Notamacropus eugenii: one gene and its partner. The protein of the gene in region 1 binds, or shares a complex with, the protein of each later gene. Links are inferred from orthologs where the notes say so. Each region holds a gene or a part of one and is shown on either strand. Other genes may lie near its edges.

Region 1 (7,759 bases):
TCATTTCCGCACCCCCCCATCCCCCCCCCACCCCCACCCCCCCCACCCCGGCTTTCCAGAAAAGATAAAGAGCAATGGGCCATACTCACTTGATCTCCGGTTCTTCATCATTACAATGGCACTGAGGAACATTAAGATCTCCACCTCCCTCTGTAAGAGAACCACAGTGAGCGCATATGAAAAACCAAGGTGGCAGCAAGCCAAGAGATCCAAACCAAAATTGAGGCACTGACTCAGCATGGGACCCATGGAGAATTATGAAATAATCACAAAGTTGTAGGAAAACTGATACAATGAAATATCGTGACATTTCATTAAATTCATATATATTTAAATCAAAATATTTTTCTCCTGCATATAGAGTGATATATAATGATCCTCTAAAGTTTGAAAAGAAAAGTAGTACCTTTTCCTCTGATGATAATATCTAGGTTACACAATTTCATGCTATAAATCCCCTTGGGCTACTTGCTAGGGGTGTGGGATGGTGAGGGATCATTATATTTACAGACTATGTCTCAAAGCACAGGAAAACTGTGAAACTATCCATGCCTATGAAACCTGTATCAATGCCATCCATCTACTCACCAAACATAACTACTTCTGTATGGAGGACTTAAACCTAGCAAAAAGCCACCAACTTGGAAGCAGCTCTCTGAATGAGGTGAACATCTGTGATCACTAAACTGCCAACAGTCCATTCAGGAAGAATTTGGAAAAAGATACTTTCATACTCAAATACAATCATATTTCATTACGGGTAACCAAATTACTCTAGGCTTAGGAATAAGAATTTTCCAGGACAAGTTTCTTGTCTCTTTTAGGAATATCACTGTCAACAGCAGAGCAGTCATTCAACCTGCTTCAACCCCAAAGAGGTAAGCAAATGAGCCAAAATCAACATGGACTTCAGCACACATCTGAAATCTGAATTTTCTGTCCCAATTCTCTGTCATCAATGAAAGGCAGAGGGAGCGAACACTGGTGAGTCTCATGCTTGAAGCAGAAGCTAGAGAAGGTGTCCATCTGCTCAGTCATTTATTATGTGCCTACCATGTGCCGGATACAAAGAAAGGCAAAAGACAGTCTGCCCTGGAGGAACTCATGGTTTAATGGTGAACTACAAGTGTTCAAAGTAGGAGAACAAGTCTGAGGTCAGACACAGCAGGACAGCAGGAAAGAAGAGACAGGGAAGAAAGAAGGGGGACAGGGAAGACAGTGTAAAATTGTTCACAAATTCAGAATTTGACTGTGGGTAGGGACAGCCTCACCTGTTAGACATTTTATAAAAAGGGAAGACATTTCACCTCTCCACACTGGTCTGTTGAAAGCCTCAGCTTCAAAGGTGGAAATATGGCTTAGAACAACAGAAACAAACATCTAATAGATGTTTGCTTGTGAGCAAAGCATTGTGGTGGATCCTGGAGGGGTGGAGGAGCTCATAAAGTTTAGCTAACCACCTCAAAGTACTTTGTGGGGCATGGGAAGGAAAATCTGGTGAAGGAAAGGAAACTTTGCTCAGGTGAGGAAGCTAAATCCAGGAATGGTGAAATGACTTGTCCGAGTTCACACAGATATTATGTGCCCAAGTACAAAACAGAATACCGCCTGAATTATGGGGGTGGGGAGGATAAGGGACAGGAAGACAGACTTCTAGGAAGGCTTCCTGGGGGAGGTAGCATCAAAGTTGGATTTTAAACAAGTAGGAATTCAAAGAGCAGAGGGGGAGAGGGAGAACACCCCAGTAATGAGAACAGAGTAACACATGCTGCAGGGAGGGTAGGGAGTAAGAGACAAAGCTCTACAGTTTGGTTGAAGCAAAGTGTACCTGGATGGGAAGTCATAGCAAATATAACAGGAGGGGTGGAGAAACAGCAGGGTAATACCATGAATTTGGAACTTGAAAACGCAATAGGCTTTTTATAGGCAAAAGGTCTAATTTCTAAGTTACAGAGAGAACTATTTGAGTAAAAGCCATTCCTCAAACAACAAATGATCAAAGGATCTGAATAGGCCTCTCAGATGAAGGAATCCATGCTATTAATAGCTGCATGAAAAAATGCTCCAAACCACTAATCATTACGGAAATGCAAATTACAACAACTCAGAGGTTCTACCTCACATTTATCAGATTGGCAAAATTAACCAAAAATGGAAAATAACAAATATTGTAGGCCTGTGGGAAAAAAAAAGGCAAAATGCACTCTTGCGGGAGCTATGGACCGGTCCAGTCATTCTGGAAAGCCATTTGGAACTTATGTCCACAAAGCGATTAAACTGTTCATATATACACTTTGACCTAGCAATACCACTACTATGTCTCAATGGAAGGTAAGAAGAAGAGGACCCGTATGTACAAAAATATTTATAAGCAGTTCTCTTTGCCATAGCAAAGAACTGACAACTGAAGAAGCGCCTGTCAGTTGGGGAATGGCTGAACAAATGATGCTACATGAATGTGACAGAATGCTAGTGTGTGGTAAGAATGATGATGATAACAGTTTCAGAGAAACCTAAGAAGACTTGTATGAACTGATGCAGAAAGAAGTGAGCAGAACCAGAACAATTATGTAATAACAGCAACACTGGAAAGGTAAAGAGCTGCGAAAGACTTAGGAATTCTGATCAAAGCAGTGAGCAAACACAATTCCAGAGATCTCCTGATAAACTGCTACCACATCCTGAAAGAGGAATGAAGAATGAGACCAATTTATTTGGTCATGGTCAATGTGGGAATTTCTTTTGCTTGATTATATGTTTATAACAGCGGTTGTTTTTTTTTTTCGTTCTTTCTCATGGAGGTAGGATTTGGGGCAGGGAACTGGAGTTGAGATATTGACTGAAAAACAAAATTTAATTTAAAGAAAGGCAAAAGGGAAGATATTTTCACCTGGCATAACATAACTCAATCTCTGGGCAAACCTATTATACAATGGCATAAAGGACATACTGGAGGAAGGAAAATAGATGCAGAAAAACTTTCTAGGAAGTTATGACAATATTTCAACAGGATGATAAAGAGGCTAGAACAAGGATGATGGCCATGGGAGCAAAAACAAGAGATGGAGAGGAGGAATGTCATATATTTCCTCTGTGAAACTTGAGTTCTGAGGAGTGCAATAATCATCTTTTTCACCTTGGTAGTCTCATGTGAAGGTTGTGAGGAAAGAGCTTTGTAATTACTACAGAAATGGGAGGGAGGGAGGTATTCTAATTTATTATCATCATATCAAAGATACTCTTACTTGAAGACCTTATTAATCTCCTTTAGGATGGGATGAAGTGCTACATATACAACAGACACTTAATGAAACATGATATACTAGAAAGAACCCTGGACTTAAGAAGTCCAAAAATCCAGGTGTGTGTGCCATCTCCACTACTTATTAACTTTCTGACATTTGTCAAGTTGCTTCCCCTCTATATGCTTCAGTTTCCCCAGCTGTAAATTCAGGTATGGGGTCCGCTGTGACTAAGCTTGGAAAGGCAGCATGGGTTAGTGAAAAGACCAATGGATTTGGAGTCAAAAGACTGAACGGTCGATGAAAAGATCAAATAACTTTTACAGACCAGAACGATGAATGACAACAGTTAAATGACCAACACATCATCCTGGGGACTGGAGAGAGCAAGCTACTCACCTCCTGAAAGATGACGCACTAAACGTGAAGGAAGAGATGGTTTTTTTGACAAAGCTAATACGGGAATTAATTTTACTCGGAAGATTTTTTTAATGAGAAGTGGCAGGAGGGAGAGAAAATTGATTTTTGTCCTTTAAAACTTCACGGTGAGCCAATGGAGAAGCTGGTCTTCTGCTCCAGCAAGCGCCCTCCCCTCCCTGGGCTCCAAGGGCGGCGGTGCTGCTCCGTGCAGGCTCTAAAGGGACACGGAAAGGAAGGCTGCCGCCCTGGGAGGCGGCAAGGGCTTGTTTCCTGCCCGACTCTGTAACCCGGCTTCTCGCCGCCCCCTTCACTTCCAGACTGGCTTTACAGCAGAGGCCGCGGGATCCTGGATCTGGGCCGAGGCATCCGGGCCAATTCTCCCTCAGTCCTAACGCGATGGAAGGCGCTGCCCAAGGTCACGGCGGTGGCACCGGGTGGGCCTGGGCTCTGTGGGGCAATTTTTCCCGCACCTCCCGATTCGGTCGGGCCTGGCTCAAGGCTCCTGCCCCCCCGGGGCTCCGGAGGGTCATTCCCACCCTGCCCTTCGGTGACCCTGGGGCCACCTCCTCCGCTCACCCAGTCAAAGTCGCAGGGGTTGCCGTCCTCGCGCTGCGTGGGGAGACCGAGGCAGACCGGCGGCAGCTTCCTCACGAGCAGGAAAGCCACCGACAGGAGCGCCGACAGTAGGTAGTACGGCTTAGCCAGCCATCGCGAGAGCCGCGGCACCGAGTACAGCAGCGCCAGCAGCGGAGCCAACACCGCCATCTTCCTCCCCCTAAAGCAGCAAGCGCCACCACCGCCGCAGCAGCTCAGCCAAAGTACCTGCCGGACGCCGAACCGGTTCCTCGACCTCCTGCCATCCGGGCTTTCCAATTGGGCCGCCCCTCTGTCTCTCCGGAACCTCAGCCTGAAGCTGAATTATGATTGGATGTAGCTGAAAGAACGGCCTTTCTGAAAGGCTGGCCTCTCAGGGCTTCCCTCTTTGATTGGATGCTGAGAACAGGGTGGGCGGAGAGATAGGCGTTTTCTGGTCACTGAGCTACATTTCCTTTACGTCATCTTAGAGCGACGGAAGTTCTTCGGCCAGTGGAGCCAGACGCATCCAATAAATAGAGGCGCTAGGAAGAGGAGGGCGGTGCTGCACTAGAGGGTGGCCCAATGAGAGGCCGCGGCGGTGCTAGACTCCGAGTGGGCGGAGGCAGAAGCGGCAGCAGAAGTGGCAGCAGCGGCGGCGGCGGCGCCGGCAGAGGCAGAGGCAGAGCGGTCGACGCGATGGAGAACTTCACAGCTCTTTTCGGTGCCCAGACTGAGCCGCCGCCGCCGCCACCGGCCGCACTGGGTTTTGGGCCGGGGAAGCCGCCCCCTCCTCCGCCTCCTCCTCCGGGTGGGGGCCCTGGAACTGTCCCGCCGCCCACCGCGGCCTCAGTTCCTCCTGGTGCTGACAAGGCCGCAGCTGGGTGCGGGCCCTTCTACCTGATGCGGGAGCTCCCAGGTGAGTACGGATGCTCTTGGAAACTAGCCAATCAGCTGCTAGGGAGGGCTTGACGGTTGGGGCTGTGGGCCAATGAGCGGAAGCGACAGATAATGGGGCAAAGAGGGCGGGGATATATAGGTATTTCTGTCAATCAGAGAGCCGAAGGGGCGGGACCGAATGAGCGGGCCAGCCAATGAACGGGCTTGTGGAGTCCAGGCTAATAGAGTCTAGAGGACCCGGGTTCTAAACTCCTGAAATTTTTAGCTAGCGGTGCTACCGCGGCCTAGTAACCATGCAGTAAACGCTTGTTGGGTCTTTAAAGTGCCGTATGAATTGTCTGTTGGTGGCTCGTCACTCAACCTTTGTCGGCCTCAGTTTGCTCATCTGTAAACTGGATTTCATAATAGTAGCACCTCATCTTCCAGGGTTGTTGAGGGGGTAAAATGGGTGAGTCTTCGTAAGGTGCTCCATAAAGCAGCCTGTGACATTCGCTATGGAGACCAGGGTGGCTCCTCCTGGTGAGCTACCCAAGTAAGACAAGTTGTGAAGAGACCGGGGCAAGGCAGGATCTAGCGCCTCAAACCACCTCCCAACACCTCCTAACGTCCTGCCCACTGTGGACTGGCGCATGGGCAGGTAGTCTAATTTATGCGGATCGCCGTCTCAGTGCAGACTTGTCTTCTTTGACTAGCCGACAGGGCCCCGCACTTCCAGCAGTGGGGAGAGGGCTTGTGGTGTTTTTCAGGAATGTCGTAGGGAATGACCTGGCTGGAGGTTCCCATGAATAGGAGCATTCATCACAGTGCGGGGCCACTAAACGAAGCCTGCAGACCTACCCTCACTTGGCAAGTTAAAGAGGAGTCCTTTCACAGACCTTGGGAGCATTTGGAACCATCGCAAGATCAGTATAGGGGTGGGGGAGACAGTGACAGCTAAGCTCAATATTGAAGTTATTCATAATCTTGAAGAAAAAGAAGAGTGGATGGCCCTGGGCGGCAGGAGGAGAGAGGAAAACTGGAAGCAGAATGGCAGATTTTAAGGTCATAAGTCTAGGAAGTAAAGGGAGGTTAGATATAAGATCTAAGAGATATATGCAAAGTATCAACAGAACTTTATGATTGTTTGGATGTAGGAGCAAGAGAAAAAGAAGAGTCAAAGATGATGTTTCAAACCTGAGTGACACAGAAGGGTGGTCTTTGGTGCAGTAGAAAGTGTTGAATTCACTACAAAAATCAAAATTTGAAATCCTGACTTTGCCACTGATTACCTTTGGAACCATGGACAAGTCACTTAACCTGTTTGGATTATTAACCTCTCGGTTCTCTGTAAAATGAGGGAGTTGAACTAGATGGTTTTTAAGGTCCCTGCTCACTCTTGCTCTAAAACTACTCTTCTGTGACCATTAACAGAAATTGATAAGTAAGAAGATGGTCGTATAGAATAATATTTCAGGGGAGGGTGGTGAGTTTCGTTTTAGAAACGTTGAGTTTGTCAAGATATAGAAATGATTAACAGATAAATAAAATATCAAAGGCTATTCCCCAGTAGATAAGTGGTAAAAAGAATATGAACAATTTTCAAAAGAATTGTAAACTATTAACAACCATATGAAACTATGCTCCAGGTCACTAAATAAGAGAAATACTAAACAAAACAACCCTGAGGAACCTCATACCCTGCAAATTGGCAAAGATGACAAAAGGTGGGAAGTCAGTGTTAGAGCAGTTGTGGGTAGATATCACTAGTATATTGGAGCTGCAAATTAGTACAACCAAGCCATGCGTATAAAGTGACTAAAGCGTCCATATGCTATAAGAAATTAAGTATAAGATGAACACAGAAGGATGGAAAGATCTACATGAACTAGCGAAGACTGAAGTAAGCAGAACCAAGGAAACAGCGTATGCACACAATCACTACAAGGTAAACAGAATCAAAAGTGAATGGTGCGAAATTATGAAGAACAAGCCTGGCGTGAAAGAAGATATGAGTCCCACCCCATCCACAAATGTACATTGTACATATTTTCAGACCTTTTCAGTTTATTGATCAATTGTGCTGATTTTTTTCCTCTTATTCTTAAATTTTTTTCTTTTATTTAAAAAATGTTATTTATTATCTGGGGGGGAGGAAGAATATTGGGGGAAATTATGGTAACATTAAAAAGGGAAGGAAATGGAATAAGCATTTCTGTAGTGTCTACTATGTGGTAGGTACTGTTCTAAGTGCTTTTTTTTTTAATATCTCATTTGATCTTCACAATAACCCTAAGGTAGATGCTGTTATTATCCTCATATTACAGTTGAGGTTATTGAGGGTCACACAGCTAGTAAGTGTCTGATTCTGACTTTGAACTATTGACTCCAGGCCCAGCCCTCTATCCATTGTACCACCAGCTGTGATCAATCAAAACTTAATTTTTATTTTAAAAGATTAGGAAAAAAAGAAATATTGAACTTGAGTTGACTGGAGAAACCAAGTAGAATTGTCTCACAGCAGGTTGGAGGTATAGAATTGGAGTTTGAGGAAGAAGTGAGGATTGGAGATAGAGGTGTGTCCATCCTCCTCAGAGGCAATATTGGAAGCAAGAGTATAGCCGGATGAGATTGCCAAGGAAAAAGTA
Region 2 (7,251 bases), on another chromosome or scaffold:
TGCTCAGGGTCACACAGCTAGGAAGTGTCTTCGTCCAGATTTGAACTCATGAAGATGAATCTTCCTATCTCCGGTCCAGGCACTCTATCTGCTGTACCACCTAGATGCCCAAAACAGAACTACCACCTCTTTTTATAGATGCTATACTTGTATTTATTAACTGTGAGACCTAAGGGAAATCACTTATTCTCTGTGGTGAAATAGTTGGACTAGATGACCTCTAATATCCCCTTTAGCTCTAAACAGATTATTCTATAAATTAGGTCTTAGATCATTTTAGAGTTTTTGGTTGCCCTGTCACTATTGATCCATACTTGAGTTTTTAACAGCCTCTGAGGTCTGGATCTATTGCTATGATCCTATGATTCTTCTCTTTTATTGTTAACAATATTAATATTTTCCTTCAAAATATCTCATATCTGTCCCTTATTTTCCATTCCCACTACTCAATCTTCTGTTCACCTGTGCACTACTGCAATAGATTCCTGATGTCTCTAGTCTCATATTTCTTTAATCTATTCAGTATACCAATAGAATTTATTTTTTTTAAAAACACCACTTTCATCAAGCCACCACTGCTTCAAATCTTTCAGTTTCCTATCACCCTCAACATAAAATTCAAAGCTCTCAATAATCTCTCCCCTACCCAATATTTCCATCACTCCCCAAAATATATCTTCTGATTCATTTAGACTTCATGAATCCTTTCTAAATCTCTTGAACAAGCAAATCTCTACTTTCTTGAACCCACAGGATTTGAGTAGCATTCATGTTGGCTTTTAATTAATATGCTGTTTTTGTACTGTTACTTTTTAAAATGTGTACATGTTTTGTCCCAATTAAACGCTAAATTTTTCAAGGGAAAGAACTGTATCTTGCAGAACTTAGTGGGGTTGTGCATGCAGTATACACTCATTATCTGCCAAATGAATGAACTTCCACTTCCACCTCAATTTCCCTAAGTTCCCTTCTGAAGACAATGGCTAAGATTACTCAATACTCTATTTTTCATACGTAAAATTATCTTAAAATAGGGTCAACTTTGCAATGCCATGTCAAAGTTAATCCTGGCTGAACAATCACACTTCGATGATCAGGAACTGAAGGTTCTTCACCCTGCTGCCACACTGTTCAGCAAGCCCAATTAAGTGGCAGTCAGGTGGCTAGTGGACAAGGGCACCAGACTTGGACTTGGACTTAGGAAGCCAGGCACCGTGCTAAGATCATTTTTACAAATATTATCTCATTTCACTCTGTGAGATAAGTGTCATTATTATTCCCACTTTACAGCTGAAGAAAGGAGGCCACAGAGCAAACTGAGTGTTCCGGATTCCAGGCCCACCGTCACTAGCTGCCTCTAACAATAACTCCCTCAATAGTTTCTGTGAAAATCTACTATGAAAACACACACAAAGCTTCTTCGCATATAAGAGTTATTTAACTGTGGATCCCCAGTACATTTGGGCCAACAGAGATAAGACAACCTGTAAAGTACACTGGCAGCCCTAAATAAAACTGCTTCTTATAGTCAAAAAGACCCGCGTTCAAATTCGCTTTCAGACACTTGGAAGTTGTACGTGCCAAGGCAGGTCACTTAACCTGTCTGCCTCAGTTTCCTTGAATGGGGATCATACTAGCACTTATCTCCCAGGGCTATTGAGGGGATTAAATGAACATCTCTTAATATTATTAGATATGGGCCAGGTCCATAGAAGGTGCTTAATGAATGCTTACTGATCACCGATTAACACATAGCAGGAAGCTTGGCACATAGAAGGAACTTAATATTTATCGTTAATATCTGGAAGGCGCTTAGCACAGTGCCTGGCACATGAGGTGCTTAGCATTTATTGATCAACGTTTACCGTAAAGTGTTTAGCACATATTTGTATCTGGTTGGTTACTGATTCACACCCGTAACCGTTCTGCACAGCGTCTTGTTCCTCTATTCGGGGGGCAGCCGCAGCCCCGTCTGGGAGCCGGGGGTAGAAAACAAAGCCCTCCTCGCGAGCAGCCCGAGCCCGGAAGGAGCGGGCACCGCCGTCGCACGGCCCGCCCAGGGCCTGCAGCGCTCGCTTCCCTCCTCCGCACCGCGGGGAGGCGCCCAGGACTCTCCTCCGGCCCGTCTCCCTTCCCCCAGAAAGGTAAGGAGGGCGGCTCCGGGGCAGACCAGCCGCGCAGGGGGAGGGGGAAGAACCGACGAGAGCCGAAGGCGATGACGTCTCCGGTGGGTCACTAGCCCCGGTCAACGCCGCGGCCCCTCCCCCTGTCCCTGGGTCAGTCCCGAGCTCGGCTCCCGGCCGGGTCACTGCCACCTCTCTCACCTCGTCATCTCAGCCCCAGCCGCTGCGGGAGGAGAAAGAAAACGCCCAAACCCCGGCGCCCCGTTACCCGCCCAGGAAGAGATGAGGCAGCGACGCCAACTCCATTTCCTCACCGAGTTGACGGCGTCCTGAAGCTGAGTGAGACGATCCGCCATGTTGCCAGCGCTGACGCCAACGCCGCAGCCCTTCCTATAGCCCGCTCCCGCCTGATTGGACGGCGCGGAGCGCCAATCACTGGACTGCTCTTCGGGAAGGGGGCGGAGCCACCGTCTGGCCGGGCGCTGGGAGTGGAACTCGTTTGTTGTGTTTAGTCGTTTCCGTTACGTCCTGCTCCTCGTGGCTCCATTTGGGAGGCCGTCGGCCAAGCCGCTGGACTGGTTTCCTTCCACAGCTCGTTTTACGGTTGAGGAAGCGGAAGCCGACTGGGTGAAGTGACTTGCCCGGGGCTCCCCGGCTAGTTTGTGAGGTCCGACAGGGAGAAACATGTGGTGAAATCGGGAAAGCCTCTCCTAGTCTTTACTGTCCGTCCCCCTAAGTGGACAGGCAGCCTCCCCAGGGAGGTTACCGGAAGACTGCGACACGTGCAGGAAGGCGGGGCTGCTTAGGCTGCGTCTCCCGCCACGCCGCCCCCTGGCCACGTGACTCCGTGTTCTCCTCTCTGACCGGCCCTTCCTCCCCAGCTCCTTGGGCCTGCGCAGTCGTTCCTGACCTCTAACCTGTCCAGGCTGGGTCACCAGCCTTATCCCCCAGGACCGTGGACAACGGAACTGTCTTACTTCCCACAGCTGCCAAAGGGATTTCCCTAAATCATGCCGCCTTCCTACGTAATACATACCAGCTGTTCCCTGTTGCTTCTAGCATCGAGTACAAACTCTGGAATTTCAAGCTCTTCCCAACATGGCCCTGTCTTCCCTTTCCAGCCTTCTTACTACTGCCCTCCACACACACTGCAGTCCAACTCTGCTGGCTTTGATCCTCCAGTCCTTCTTGCTGTTCTTCCCCTTCATTCCCATCTCCCATCTCTATGCCTTTGCACTGGCTGTACCCCCCATGCCTGGAATGTTCTCCCTCTTCAGCTCCAACTCTTGGAAACCCTGGTTCCCTTCAAAATGCAACTGGAGCACCACTTTCTTACATAAAGTCTTCCCTAGTTGCCCTAGGGGCCAGTGTCTTCTCCAGGGTTACTCTGTATCTGTTTTTATATACCCATGTGCCCAGTTAGAATGTAAACTCCTTGAGGGTCCATGTTATTGTCTTTGTGTCCTTAATTCTAGTACTTAGCTGGTTGGTTGTTGTCCTTCATTCTTGAAGAGGACCACAGGGACATCACCATGATAAAGTGAAGTTTCAGTGTGCACGACTGTGGCTGATGAGATCAATACAAACTTGGAATGCTCTAGCACAGATTGGGCACAGATAGTCTGGGTGAACATTTGGGGTGGTGACTCCAAATTTGCACATCCTACGGTTCCTCTGTGCTGTCTCAATTCTGCTTCGCTAATAGAGCACAGCACCCTTTCTGATGTGGGCACACCATGCTGAGTGGTCCTGTGCCAGTGTCTCCCATGTTGCACAATCAAATCCAAAGTTCTTGAGAGAGATCTTGTGGAAAAAAGCACTGACTCCAGAAAGTCAGAGAAACCTAGAATCTAACCCCAGTCCTGTTATTTACTCTTTGATCTTGCATAACATACTTGAGTTCTCTCAGTGTACACTCCTTTTAAAATTAGGAATAATAATATCTTCTCTACCTAACTGATATGATTGTAATGAGGATGAGGTGATATTGTATTGGAAAGAACTTTGTAAACCATAAAGCCTTAAGTGAGAAGTTGCTAACAGTTCTTGTCTGTTTCATGGACCCCTTTGGCAGTCTGGTGAAACCTAGGGATTCTTCTCAAGATAAAATTCGTAAATACATAAAATATATAGGATTACAAAGGAAACCAATTATATGGAAATTCAGTAATCCAACATAAAAAAATAACAAGTTCATGGATCTCAGGTTAAGGATCCCTACCCTGCACAAGCATGATTACAGCCTTATGACTTAACTTTCCTATTATGGTTACCTAGAGCTTTCTAGCTCCCTCAGTGGCCCTTACTGCTTTCCCTATTGTATTCCTTATTGCTACCCTGTTTTATCCAGGGAGATTATGAAATGTAGGAAGAGAAAGAGAAGGAAATTGTTTGCATTTCAACATGCATCTATTTCATGCTTCCATCAGTTACTTCTGGTTTCAGGCTGTTCCCATGGGCACTCCCAAAAAACAGCTGGAAGGCAAGACGTGTATTACCTAATGGACACACTGGATATTTTGCAATCAAGAAAGTTGGCCACAGGTGAGAACTGAAACCATGGTAGTAGAATAAATCCTGAAAAGGATACACAAAGAGCCAAGACCTCATCTTCACCCAAGAATTCATTCCCAGGTTTGAAACCTTAACACATTCAGCCCAGTCAGATCCTGCTTCGAGCAACATGAATCTTACAAAGCTACCACTTAGCAGTAATACTAACTCACAATTTATATTAGCTTTAAGGTTTGCAAAACACTACATTAGGTCTCCACCACACCTCTGCATTATTCCCATTTTACATGGATCAAAAGAGTTAAATGATTTTCCCCGGGCTTACACAGTTAAGTATCTTCCTGACTCCAAGTAGTGTATGATCCAGCACACCAGATTGAGGTATTTACTACCTGTGTGACCTTGGAGAAGATCTGGGCCTCAGTTACCTAATGTGGAAAATGAGGTAGTTGAATTAGAGAACTTCTGAAGTCCCTTGGGACTCTAAAGCTTTCAAGGAGATTGTTTAATTTTTCTCAGGCCCACAATTGGTGTCCAGTAATGAGGGAAGGTACTTGGTTCTCCTGTCTTGACTGTGCCAGAAATAGCTTCCAGTAATCTGAGTTAACTCTATCCAAATTCTACTCTCAAAAGCTTGAGGGATTAGACTGTGAATTCACTCTTTCTTTACCCAGTGTCTGTAACAGACTCCTGCATCAAGGTGAAAGGGGTGGGATTATGTTGCTGAGTCCTGAGCAAACTTTGGTGAGTCTGGAGGTCTATGGAGGCTTTAGAAGCAGCTTGGGTTGGTGATTCATTTGAGTTGATGGTTGGAAGAACCCAAACCTCAGAACATTAATTTCCCTCTGCATTGTGCAGACAGACCTGGAAGAGTCTCTTCCTCTGGAGAGAGGTAGAGAAAAAGAAAAAAAGACCATTGATGCCACAGGGAGCTAGGAGTTGCCACTGCTGCAGGAGAGAATGACGATAGAGAACACCTGCTGGGAACTGGGGAGAACAGCTGGGAATGCCGGGAGGCTCATGGCTTCACCTCTCCCAGGAGGTGTGTTAAGCTTCCTCACCACTAGAATCTCCTGCCTGAACACACTGCCCTGATTTGCAAGCTCAGCCTATTCTTTTCTGTTCTTCAGGCCTCCCTTTAACACTGAACACCCAGGTGGGGGCCACCATTAATGCCAACGCTCCTACTATTTTCTGTTCTCCTTTTCTCCATCATTGATCCTGGGAGGAGGTCCTAGTTAATTGTGCCCTGCTTCCCTGGACTATCGCAGAAAAGTAACAAGGCTTCCAAATTGGTAACTATTGGATGTCCAGACAGCAGGGCACCATACCCTGCCATCTTGGGACTCAAAGAAACTGCACTTTACTGTGTGTTCAGTCAGGTCCCTGAGGTCCCTGTATCCAGAAATTATTCTAAAGTCTGAACTTCTCTAAACTACACATTAACTCCACTCTCCAACGCTGCTGGACCCTTGAGCATGAGAGATCCATTCATTTGATACTTCATCTTATGTTTAACAAACTCCAATCTTTTCTGTCTTATGGTTAACAAACTCCAATCTTTTCTTCCCCAATTGCCCAAGATTCAAAATTAATGTCCACCAAGGGGAAAATCCTCTTTTCTAACTACTCCCCAGTCCCTCTTCCCTATCCACCTTTGCCCTGTTCTTCCCAAATCCTTCTGCTGTTCTGGCCTCCCTTCCCATTGAGTTCTCTGTAACTCCCACATTGTTCTTAATAAATTTCTCTTCATCTTTCACCACTTTCTCACACACTTGTCACCTTCTTGGACTCTCAACAACTTGTCTCTCTAAAAGGCACTGCGTCTCTGCCTACCTTCTCCAGTCCTAAATATGCTCTCTCTCATATTCCCTGACACACAGGGCAAGGAGAGGACGAGGTGGTCTATTCCCTGCTCTTCCCTCTGCTTCAATCATTCAACAATCTCTCTGTCTCTCTCCATTCATTCTGTCTGTATATATTGCTCTGTCCAAATCCTTGTAGTCATTTATCTGATTTCAGGTAAGCCTGCCTCTTGAAGAAGGTTGCCACCTAGCTCAAAGTTTTCTCTCCGCTCAAATCCCTGCCATTGAACTTGGAGACTTCATTATGCATATTGATGCCCCATCAAATATACTGGCATTGTAATTCATCAGCCTCCTACCTTCATTCCATCTCAACCACATGTAGAAATGATCATACCTTGGATCTTACTATTATTCTTAACTATGCTAGCTATATCATCTTAAACACATAAAGTCTTCCCTCTCATCATAAACTCTTAGTCTTCCATCTCTCCCTCTGTCTCCCTTCTAAACCAATTCTTCATCCTTACTATGACATCGAGGCACTCCTCTCCTCCTTGTTCTCTCAGTACATTACCTCTGCTCTGGCCTCACTTTTCACCCTTAAATCTTAATTTTATGGTTAACAAATTCAAATATACCATGCCTGCTACTTTAGAATCCTTTGACCTTTTTTTGGTTGCAGTTTTCATCTTTTCAAAGTCCTAACCTGGGTTGCCTGCATCATCTTACATCTCCCATGCTCCTTTACAGGTGGTTACAAATGGTAGAGGAAGTCGGATACCTGTCTGTTGATTACTCCCATAGTA

Evidence for each region. Proteins that work in one complex are often made in the same cells at the same time.
Region 2: MED19 (region 1) and MED21 share a complex: the UniProt entries of both Homo sapiens proteins name them as parts of the mediator complex. The link is inferred for Notamacropus eugenii from reciprocal best matches to the Homo sapiens genes MED19 and MED21.

What each region holds. Positions count from the first base shown.
Region 1 is NC_092873.1:3,310,376-3,318,134, reverse strand, and holds the start of MED19 (mediator of RNA polymerase II transcription subunit 19), read left to right. Parts: upstream 1-4,740; 5' UTR 4,741-4,820; coding exon 4,821-5,154; intron 5,155-7,759. Other genes in the region: TMX2 (thioredoxin-related transmembrane protein 2), read right to left, coding at 90-150, 4,239-4,427. UniProt on the Homo sapiens protein: Component of the Mediator complex, a coactivator involved in the regulated transcription of nearly all RNA polymerase II-dependent genes.
Region 2 is NC_092874.1:178,501,378-178,508,628, forward strand, and holds the start of MED21 (mediator of RNA polymerase II transcription subunit 21), read right to left. Parts: upstream 3,057-7,251; 5' UTR 2,480-3,056; coding exon 2,438-2,479; intron 1-2,437. UniProt on the Homo sapiens protein: Component of the Mediator complex, a coactivator involved in the regulated transcription of nearly all RNA polymerase II-dependent genes.